3 linked regions of the Arabidopsis thaliana genome follow. The protein of the gene in region 3 purifies or fractionates together with the protein of the main gene of each other region. This does not show direct contact. Each region holds a gene or a part of one and is shown on either strand. Other genes may lie near its edges.

The links.
Region 1: the proteins of TAP46 (region 3) and AT3G18190 purify together in Arabidopsis thaliana (affinity purification with mass spectrometry, with the first as the bait; one large-scale study listed by BioGRID). This does not show direct contact.
Region 2: the proteins of TAP46 (region 3) and AT2G22230 purify together in Arabidopsis thaliana (affinity purification with mass spectrometry, with the first as the bait; one large-scale study listed by BioGRID). This does not show direct contact.

What each region holds. Positions count from the first base shown.
Region 1 is NC_003074.8:6,230,091-6,233,843, forward strand, and holds the start of AT3G18190 (TCP-1/cpn60 chaperonin family protein), read left to right. Parts: upstream 1-2,017; 5' UTR 2,018-2,135; coding exon 2,136-3,746; 3' UTR 3,747-3,753. Other genes in the region: AT3G18180 (Glycosyltransferase family 61 protein), read left to right, coding at 180-336, 422-517, 629-1,788. UniProt on the Arabidopsis thaliana protein: Molecular chaperone; assists the folding of proteins upon ATP hydrolysis. Known to play a role, in vitro, in the folding of actin and tubulin.
Region 2 is NC_003071.7:9,447,912-9,451,664, reverse strand, and holds AT2G22230 (Thioesterase superfamily protein), read right to left. Parts: upstream 1,736-3,753; 5' UTR 1,624-1,735; coding exon 1,422-1,623; intron 1,345-1,421; coding exon 1,284-1,344; intron 1,171-1,283; coding exon 1,026-1,170; intron 493-1,025; coding exon 238-492; 3' UTR 42-237; downstream 1-41.
Region 3 is NC_003076.8:21,486,373-21,490,125, forward strand, and holds the start of TAP46 (2A phosphatase associated protein of 46 kD), read right to left. Parts: upstream 1,671-3,753; 5' UTR 1,498-1,670; coding exon 1,402-1,497; intron 1,259-1,401; coding exon 1,136-1,258; intron 845-1,135; coding exon 758-844; intron 639-757; coding exon 534-638; intron 428-533; coding exon 266-427; intron 183-265; coding exon 147-182; intron 63-146; coding exon 1-62. Other genes in the region: AT5G53010 (calcium-transporting ATPase), read right to left, coding at 2,527-2,578, 2,666-2,742, 2,832-2,933, 3,012-3,140, 3,335-3,380, 3,585-3,688. UniProt on the Arabidopsis thaliana protein: Involved in the positive regulation of the TOR signaling pathway. Acts as a negative regulator of PP2A catalytic activity. Plays a positive role in the ABA-regulated inhibition of germination, probably throught its interaction with ABI5.

The sequences.
Region 1 (3,753 bases), on a different chromosome or scaffold from region 3:
TTATAGTGAAAAAAAAAACACAGATAATATCGTCAAACAAATTCTTAAATACCTCACATAATCCTCTCGCTCTCCCACCTAGCTTGACCTTCATATCTCTACATTAGCCAGTAAACTCTGATTATAGAGTTTCTTGCTGAAGAAGAAAGAAAAGTTTTGTGTAACTTAAGAGTCAAGAGATGACAAAGAAGGATATTCTTTACGATACAGTACTTGCTCGTAGTTTTAGCAAAACTGATCAGAAGAGACTTTGCTGTGGAGCTTTCATTGCCTCTCTTCTCTTGGTCCTCACTCTTTGCACTGTCGTTAAACCTTATCTCAGCCCTTTACCAATCGGTAAGTCTCTTACCACGTTTTGCCGAAAAGCCAGATAACGCAAAAACAATCATTTTAACGTGTATCTCTTTCTTTCTTTCTTCAGTGGAGTTACAGTTATCAGTTGGCACTGGTCTAAGGATGCTGAGTATAACAGAATTAACTACCAACACTACAATCTCCAAAGAAGAAGTTATTTCAGGTCAATATACTTCAGAATTTTCTCTACAATTGTCTTGTTATGGTTTTTAGTCATTTTCTGTATAGTATGATACAGTTTGTTCTTTTGATTTTGTCCTGACTGAATCTTCAGAGTGCAATAAAATGGAGAAACCTATCTGTCACTGTAACACACTAGGAAGCAAAGAGTTTTGCGATGTAAGCGGCGACGTAAGAATCCATGGTAAATCCGCAACTGTTCTTGCGGCGGTCACGTTTGCGTTTTCCGGGAATTCCACGTGGTATATGAGACCTTATGCGAGAAAAGACCAAGTTCCTGCCATGAAACGCGTGAGAGAATGGACGGTGAAATTAGTACAAAACGCTAGTTTATCACGCTGCGTTAGGAATCACAGCGTTCCGGCGATTCTTTTCTCTCTCGGAGGCTTCTCGTTGAACAATTTCCATGATTTCACGGACATCGTGATTCCTCTGTACACGACGGCGCGTAGATTCAGCGGTGAAGTTCAGTTCCTCGTGACGAACAAGAATCTTTTGTGGATCAACAAATTTAAGGAATTAGTGAGGAAACTCTCTAATTACGAAGTGATTTACATCGACGAAGAAGACGAAACGCATTGTTTCAGCAGCGTCATCGTTGGTCTCAATCGCCACCGTGATTATGACAAAGAGCTAACGACTGATCCTTCGAATTCGGAGTATTCAATGTCCGATTTCCGGAAATTCCTCAGAGACACATACTCATTGAGAAACTCCGCCGTGACTACGAGGCGGAAGCCACGGATTCTGATTTTGTCTAGGAGCAGATCGCGAGCGTTTGTGAACGCGGGTGAAATCGCTAGAGCGGCGAGACAAATCGGATTTAAAGTCGTGGTGGCGGAAGCAAACACGGAAATCGCGAGTTTCGCAATAACTGTGAACTCCTGTGACGTGATGCTCGGCGTTCACGGCGCGGGGATGACGAACATGGTGTTCTTACCTGATAACGCGATCGTGATTCAGATTCTTCCGATCGGTGGATTCGAGTGGCTTGCAAAGATGGATTTCGAGTATCCGTCGAAGGGCATGAATCTGAGGTATTTGGAGTACAAGATCACGGCGGAGGAGAGCACACTGGTGAAGCAGTACGGACGCGATCACGAGTTCGTTAGAGATCCATTGGCCGTTGCAAAACGCGGGTGGGGAACTTTCAAGTCGGTTTATTTGGTACAGCAGAACGTTAGCGTTGATATAAACCGGTTCAAGCTGGTTCTTGTCAAAGCTCTTGAGCTATTGCATAATCAGTCAGTGTAAATAAGTAACTTTCAAGCATTCGTGTACTGTAATCTTGGGAACGAAATAATTACCAGATCATTTGGTCTAGTTTAGATTTTTCTCAAATTTGTTTAACCGTCCCCTTAACAAACACTCAAGTCTGAAGTCTGAACCAATAACTGGGCCTTTTGGGCTAACTCATAAAAACTCAAAACAGGCCCATTTATCAAACAATAGCGTATACCCTAGGGCTTTTTTCAAATTCTCTATTCTCTCTTTCATTTCCAGAACACTCTTGTCACACTTCCATTTAGGGTTTTCTGCAAATTTCTCCGTTCGAGATCAATTCCGTCGAGATCTCAAGCTCTCTCACTCGTAGTAAAAAAATGGCGGCGGTAGCGGCACCAATGGCTTCGAAGCCCCGTGGATCTAAAGCTGAATCGTTCGTAGACAACAAGCGGAGAGAAGATATCCGATTCGCGAACATCAACTCTGCTCGAGCAGTCTCTGACGCCGTCCGTACTAGTTTGGGACCGAAAGGAATGGACAAGATGATTTCCACGGCGAACGGAGAGGTAATCATTACTAACGATGGAGCTACGATCCTTAACAAGATGGAGGTTTTGCAGCCAGCGGCGAAGATGTTAGTCGAGCTTTCCAAATCTCAAGATTCAGCCGCCGGAGATGGTACCACAACTGTCGTAGTAATCGCCGGTGCGCTTCTCAAGGAGTGTCAATCGCTTCTCACAAACGGGATCCACCCTACTGTCATTTCAGATTCGCTTCACAAGGCGTGTGGTAAGGCGATCGATATTTTGACTGCCATGGCTGTTCCAGTGGAGCTCACTGATAGAGATTCACTTGTGAAATCTGCGAGCACATCGCTTAACAGTAAGGTTGTTAGTCAGTACTCTACATTGCTTGCTCCTTTAGCTGTAGATGCGGTTCTCTCTGTTATAGATCCGGAAAAGCCTGAGATTGTGGATTTGCGTGATATTAAGATTGTTAAGAAGCTTGGTGGGACTGTGGATGATACACATACTGTGAAAGGTTTGGTTTTTGATAAGAAGGTTAGCCGTGCTGCTGGTGGACCGACTCGTGTGGAGAATGCTAAGATTGCTGTGATTCAGTTCCAGATCTCACCTCCTAAGACTGATATCGAGCAGAGTATTGTTGTCTCTGATTATACTCAGATGGATAGGATCTTGAAAGAAGAGAGGAATTACATATTGGGGATGATTAAGAAGATCAAAGCAACTGGTTGCAATGTGTTGTTGATTCAGAAGAGTATTTTGAGGGATGCAGTGACTGATCTATCTCTTCACTATTTGGCCAAAGCTAAGATTATGGTTATTAAGGATGTTGAGAGAGATGAGATTGAATTTGTCACCAAGACATTGAACTGCTTGCCTATCGCCAATATTGAGCATTTCAGAGCTGAGAAGCTTGGCCATGCTGATCTTGTTGAGGAGGCCTCCCTTGGAGATGGAAAGATTTTGAAGATCACTGGTATCAAGGACATGGGGAGAACTACATCTGTTCTAGTTCGTGGCTCCAACCAGCTTGTTCTAGATGAAGCTGAAAGGAGTTTACATGATGCCTTGTGTGTGGTTAGGTGTCTAGTGAGCAAAAGGTTTTTGATTGCAGGAGGTGGTGCACCAGAGATTGAGCTCTCAAGGCAGCTCGGTGCTTGGGCTAAGGTGCTACATGGGATGGAAGGTTACTGTGTGAAGTCTTTTGCTGAAGCTCTCGAAGTTATTCCTTACACACTAGCCGAGAATGCAGGGTTAAACCCTATCGCCATTGTGACTGAACTCAGGAACAAGCATGCTCAAGGGGAAATCAACGCAGGGATCAATGTGAGGAAAGGACAGATCACTAACATCTTGGAGGAAAATGTTGTTCAGCCTCTGCTTGTGAGTACCAGTGCGATCACTTTAGCAACTGAATGCGTTAGGATGATTTTGAAGATTGATGACATCGTAACTGTGAGGTAGTGTGGTA
Region 2 (3,753 bases), on a different chromosome or scaffold from region 3:
GTGTCTCCTTGTAATATAACCAAACTTATGATCTATGAATATGGATTTTCAAAATCAAAATCTCTGTATTTGTATCTTATGAATGTTCATAAATTGGAGACAGCAATAAAGACACGAAGGGCAAAAGTAGCTCATATAAATGTCGAAAACATAAAGCTGTCTTGTCTAGATTTTCGAATAACAGAAGAAGCATAAGAAGAGTCCACATGTGGGAAGTGAGACCATTAATGGGTGAGATCAAGAACTACCAGCAGAAACCATCATGAACTCGCCTTCACACACCAGAGCACCACCCACATAAGCTTTACCTTCCATTTTAGCGAGCCCGAACCGCTTCTGGAACTTGAGAAGAGTCATCCTCATGACTAGCGTGTCTCCTGCAATCACTGGTTTGCGAAATCTCACTTTATCAATACCAGCAAAGAAGAAGTTATCTTGAGAGCCTCCTACTTCCGGCTGCAGCATTACTATACCTCCGACTTGCGCCATTGCCTGCAATACACAAACTCTGACTTTTCAGTGAAATGATCTTCAAGACATTAATACTCAACCATATGGCGGTTATCTTTTTTATAGAGGATCTGTGATCCTCTATCGGGATTCAGAATCCAAAACCTCTACCAAATTAGCGAGATCATTAACCTCTTTCAAGCTTAAAGTTGCATATTTCTACTACGCAGACTCGAGTTTTCAGTATCAAAGCTGCAGATAGCTTCACACATTTTGGATCAAGTTTTTAGCAAAGTGAAGTTGAAGTCCCTCAACTATAATATACTCATCACTCTATCAGACCACAGAAGGACAATTCAATTACCAACCAGGTGAAGATCTCGCGCTAATCTATCAGGATTCAGAATCCAAACTAGCAGATCATTAACCTCTTATCATAGTTAACATCCATCTTCGATTAAAACAGTAGCGAACATTAAAGCATTTTGAAAGGAATACAACAGCTAACATATCAATTACAAAATATTTGATCTTCTTGAGGACAAAAGTTTGCAACTTTAAACGATTATTATTACCTCAATCATGAGAACACCAGGCATGATTGGTCGTTCAGGGAAATGGCCAGGGAAGAAATTGTCATTGATGGTGACATTCTTAATAGCTACAGCTGAAACACCAGGCGTATACTCTATCACTCTATCTACCAGCAGAAACGGAAACCTAAAATCCAAGAACCATAATGTCAAATTCCAGAAAGATCAAAACTTCAAACATGGGTTTCAACGAAAACTCATCAAATCACCGAAAGTTGAAGTCTTATGAATATTTTATACCTGTGAGGCAATATCTCTCTGATTTGGTTAATGTCCATTACCGTTGGAAATGCTGGGAATTCTGGGGATTAAGAGAAACAGATTGAGTAAGAGAATGACGAATGTCGGAAACATTAGAAATCGAGAGAAAAATCTTACTGAGTTCGATTGGTGTTTCCTTTTCGGTTGAGGTGCTATCGCCATTTGTTGAACAACGAAGCGTGAGAGAATTGGATCGCTTGTTGGGTGGGAGAGAAACAGAGTGAGATCTGGAGGAAGATAGATGGAGAGGTTGATGATGATGATGATGAATCAGTGAGTCAGAACTTAGGAAAAGTACCGAGTTAGAAGTAGTAGCCATTGTCGAGTAACAGTGAAGAGAGTTTAGAGAGAATGTGAGAGATGTTGTTTTTGCAGGTGAAGGAGCGGAGAGTACAAAGGTTTGTGTTAGTTGAAGCAGAGATAGTGACAAATTCATAGGTTTTGAATATATTCATACAATGGAAACAATATAACAAGTGGCCTATTAGCTCAGTTGGTTAGAGCGTCGTGCTAATAACGCGAAGGTCACAGGTTCGATCCCTGTATAGGCCATTTCTTTTTTTCTTTTTTTGGTCCTTCGTAGCCTTTTTTTGGAACAAACAAGGTTGACTGTTCCTTTTGATGAACCGAATCGAACCGCTAACCAAACTCATTTTAAAAAGTCACCGATTTTTACGATTTTAGAGTTGCATTTGTGCATAACCAAAGGCACATAGACTAGGTGCCAGTATATGAAATTTGTTCCAGTTGACTAATTTATAAAAAATAATCACATCTTTAGCTGGATCCACAAAATTAGGTCAGGGTTCATGACCTTTTTAGCATTGTTTTAGATTATCTTGACCATTAGTTGTGGTGAGAGTTGACAATTTAAAAAGTCAACTAGTTTTTAAAATTAAATACCATAACAAATGATGCTTAATATATATGCTTTAATGCTTATAGTTATTTAAACTTTATAAGTACCATAATTTTTTTTTTTTTTTTTCTCGATCTAACTCCATCTATTATTCTACGGATATAAGCTCTCCTCTAAAGAGAGCCAATCGGGAATCGTTGAACTTACATGGGAAAAACAGAATCCGTGTGCTCTTGCACATTTTGCAAGGTAATCTGCACGAATATTACTAGTTCGAGGAACGTAGTTAATATTTAAAGATACAAGTTTATCTCTAAAAATCTTGAAATCTTCTAGCTCCGATGCAAAATTAGGCCACTCCTCCGGGGTATTAACCATGGTGATAAGATCTGAGCAATCCGTCATAACTTGTACCCTCGATATCGACAATCCCACCATGCACTTCAAGGCCCAAACTAATGTGTCTAATTCCGCGTGAAGCGGTGATAAACAACGTCGTGATCCCTTCAATCCCAAGTGTAACAGTCTTTCCCCGATGTTCAATATCCACCCATGACCACTTCGAGGTTCAGATACATGCCACGACCCATCAATAAAGCACACTGGAACGTCCAAAGGTAAAATTGGGACTTGCAAACATGGCACCGTCTCCTCCACTTGCTCCTCTCTCATGTTGGCTCTCCTCCAAACTTCTTCCTCTTGGATTGCCAATCCTAAAGTGTCTTGAGGTTGGACGCAAATATTTTCAAAAATCTTTCGATTTCGCGCTTTCCAAATATACCACATGATCCACGGAAAAATCCGTAGGCTCTCCTCGCTAGCTCCAATCTCCTTTGCTCTCCAATACAAATAATCCAGATTATTGTATATAGAGGGCGACGGAAACCTAGATAGAGAGGAGGGAATACCGGACAAAGCCCAGACTTGTCTCGCTGGTGGACAATCAAATAGCAAATGGTTGATGGTTTCCTCATTAGCCCCACATCTGGGACACTTTTTATCTCTACCAATATGGCGAAAATGTAGTCGTTGACATGTTGCCAAACAACCTGACACACATTGCCACACAAAATGCTTAAGCTTTCGTGTAGTTTTTAACTTCCACGCTTGCGCCTTTAGTGCTGAAACACTAGGTCCCTGAAAAGGGTGGTCACAAGACGGGCGAGAGATAGCTCTCGCGGCTTCATATCCTGTCTTGACGGTATAATTACCTGATTTGGTCATAGTCCAACTATATCCATCTCGCGAGGCATTTAAGCTCGGTTTTATCCCTAAAATGAGGGTAATATCTTTGGGGGGGAAGAGCTCACGTAACCGATCTACTTTCCACTGTTTCGTTTCAAAATCAATCAAGGTATTTACATAGATCAGAGGTTTTCTATCCGTAGCTAGACCTTTCGGTGGTCTTGGGGAGATATCTGGGATCCATGGATCAGTCCAAATACAAGTCTCAAAACCCGACCCAATGGTCCTACGAATCCCGGCCTTGAGAACATGTTTGGCAGCAAGCATACTCCTCCAGCCATACGATGGCCGATTGGATACTGTAATCTCTAATGGGCTACTATATCTGAAGTATCTTCCCTTAAG
Region 3 (3,753 bases):
CTTTCCTTTATTGCAGAGAGCATTTCCTCTTCTCTCTTTAGCATTTCCAACAGATCAATAGCCTGTAACGAAGTTCAATCATAAGATAATGCCTCCTCAACTTGTGACAAATCATAGGGTTCTAATGAAATGATTTTTAGACAAACCTTACAAATAGCCAAGTTAATTGAGGAGAGCCAGGCCTGCAGAGGAAAGCAATAAGACAAGAAAGCTTAGAAGAAAAAATCGAATTAGAGAAAGCAGCAAAACAAAAAGTGGGACAAACCTCTCTCTCTTCTTCGCTGTCATCATCTGGAATATCATCTTCTCCAGATTCAACCGGAGTCGACAAAGCTGATGCTTTAGTGGAACGTCCACGTCGCTCCTTCCTCTCTTTAATTTCAAGAAGCTTTGCCTCTGCAGCCTTTTGACGTTTGAACCGAGCTATCTACAAAGTACCATAATCATGAAGACACAACACGCATTTCAAAATCCGAAAACTTTAAACTTCATTCTCGTCAGAACATAAACAAAAGAAACAGGGCTGAATCTACCTTGAGAGCCCTTCGATCAGCAGGTGCACCAGAACCTCCTCGTGAAGAAGCCTCCAACTCCTCATCCGGAACAAGCTCCATTGCCTCACAGAACGAAAAGAACTCCTAGACACAATAACAAAACTATACATCAATCTCAAAAAAAATCCAACCAAATGCTCATTCCCACTTGCAATAGCATCAAAGGGATACAAAAACATGTAAACACTCAGCAGAAAACTAACCTTCAACTTAGCATACGAGGCTTTGACAATCTGAATCCGGTCCTCCTGTATGATTTTCTCTGTCAACTCCGCAAGATAATAAGGCACCTATAATCACAAGACAATATAATCCCTCGTCACTTTATAGAAATGTCAACTCGCAACACAATCTTATGATCTCAACACAATCTTATGGTCTCCACACAGAGTAAGTTCAATGGAAAACGTTACAATCCAAAATCTCAGACTCCATTTTGAATTTCAGTCAGTAGCTAAAACTAGAAGCATCAGGACAAGCTAAAGTTTTTCACTTTCAGATCTTTCCACACCAAAACTAATAACAAAACTAGAATACAAACAAATTACAAAAATCCAAACAACAGAGACTCAATTGCATACCAAAAGATATTTGAGATTGTTGGTGCTAATATCTTCTTTAGTCTCGTTAGACGAAAACAGCGCCAGCTTCCCGATCATATCTTCGCACTTCTGAAACATCTCACATCCTTTCTTCACAACATCCTAACAAACCAAAGGAAAAGAATGAACTAAGCATCCCCGGAAATGTCCAATTCAGTAAAAACTCGCGATTCGGATTCGAAATACCCATTTCAGATAAACACCCTAATCGAATCTGTATATAAAAAAGAGGTAGAAGCTTCCACCTGATCAACACCAGACTCTGAAGCAGCAAGATGAATTTTCCTAGCTTGCTCGAATAGCACCGATAAAGGCATTTCCTCCATAGCCAAACCACCCATCACAGGCAACAATTCAAAATTCCTTAATGAAATCGAATCCACAAGAATCGAGTTTCTTCGAGAAGAGGATCGTCTTTTGAATTTTTTTAGGGTTCCAAATCGAAATCTGACTAATTTACCACGAGTACACACAGACAGAGGAGAGAAAATGTTAACCGCGAAGAGCTTTATAAGGGACGGTTGAGATTTTGCCGCGTCAGGTGAAGTAGATAACTCGAATTCTATTAGCCGTTAGATCTGTCCACAACCTCAAAAGTCAAAAACCGACTCAGTTGTATAAAAATATCAAGTCAAAGATCAGGTGCGGCGGGTGTAGTGTAAAACCGCCACGAATGTGATTGTGGCTATGGTATATGAATGTTTACTGTTTTTTTTCTTAATTTGAATGGAGATGAAATTTTCTTGATTTTTGTACGAGTAGGAGTATGAATAAACTAGTATCGCACCCGCTGTCTAAGCAGCCCGAATTGTCGTAGTGTTATTGATTCGATCGACCTATAGCAGTAAGGAATGGTGGATACCGATAACTAAAGCCACCTCAATCGCGGTGAATCAGCTGGATCCAAAGATTTAGGAACATCCAACAAACAATTCATGAATCGAAAACGAAGAGGTGCATTGATTGAACAGAGCTTACTATATATACTATATATGACTGTCACCCATTACAGTCTACATAGCTTGAAAGGGAAATGGATACAGAACTTAAATGTTTGACTTTCACGCATTTCACTCGACATATCTTCAAGAGGAAAATGAATTGACTGAATAAACTGTAGTATGCTATATACACAGCACAATAATCCGCATTATTTAATCTCTCACGCACACCCGCGCAGAGAACAACAGCCTCCTAAGCGACCAAAGCTAGAGGGATGCTTCAAAAGTTGACCTGAGATGAGAACTGCAAGTTGAGAGAAACTACTTGCCAGATCTAAAATAAGATAGTCATATGCGATTCATTAGGAGACTTTGGGAGTGAATGGTTCTTACTTCTTACGAGAATTGAGCCATACGGCAAGAGAAATCTCAGTTACGATGATATTGGATGGCTGGGTAAGGGTAGCGAGTGGCGACTTGGCTGAAAAAAGGTTAAATTTACGTATTGAGAAAAAATGTGAAGAGTAAAAAATTAAAGAAAGTAGTTGAGGATGTTTATGAGCAGAACCTGAGTAACCCCAAAAGACTTGTCGTCACCCATTTTTTCAAGTCAATGAAAATGCCTGCGAACTTGATCACGATTATCTGATATGAAAGAACAGAAAGAGAGTATATATGGTTTAGGGATATATAAGAAAAGACAAATGTTGTGTTCACTTGTAAAGAGGACTTACCTGAGATATGATAGTTGAGGTTATTGTAACGAGAAACATATTCTCTCTAAGGACTTCTTTGAAGGTTTGGTCTACACTTTGGATTTCAAACTCATTAAAAACCTGCGTTATTTTAGAAAGATAGAGAGATGATCAACATATGAACTCTAATTAGAAGAGTGGGAAAAAATCAGATATTACCAGGTAGAAGACAAAGGAATTGAATATCAATGTGTTCATCATTTTTTCGGCATTGCCCGTCTGACCATGCTTCAGCTTCAGTAGCTTCTCAGAATTTATGAGTACCAGCGAGAGCACTAGGTAAAATACCTGGAGGAAGGTATTTCATGACACAAGCATTATTAGAGGTCTCCAAACCAGTGTGTTTGTCTCTAATCTAAATAATTAATTAGTTTAATATCACCAAGGAATTGTATTTGCTCCTTGGAAACTATGAAGGTGTGAAATACTTAATCTGACATTAACGTCCACACATGATCAATCGAGGATTTTACCCTACATACCTGAATTATCATCTTGGACCACATCGTCTTGGTTATAAGAGGATCTCTGAAAAACAAAAAATGTACACATGCATATGTACTATCAGTTTGTGTATATTCACCTAGAACAGATAGTGTGTTTTAACAAGAATTGCAAAACCAACAGTTTCTTCAAAACCTTCAGCATCAATACATTAATGTCTCTTTCTAAGCCAACTCTATATTGACTTAATAATCAAATCTTATCCTTGATCCTATTCAGAATTTGTACCTTATACCAACCGGTGGCTTTCCCATTAGGTGGTGATCAGATCTTGGTCTGTATGCCAAAGCTAATGCTCCTAAGATGTCGATAATTAGATTAACCAACAGAAACTGCATCAGGAAAAAGCAAAAACTGGGTTAGGGAAAAGGTTTCCAATCTTGGAAAAGCTGGATAA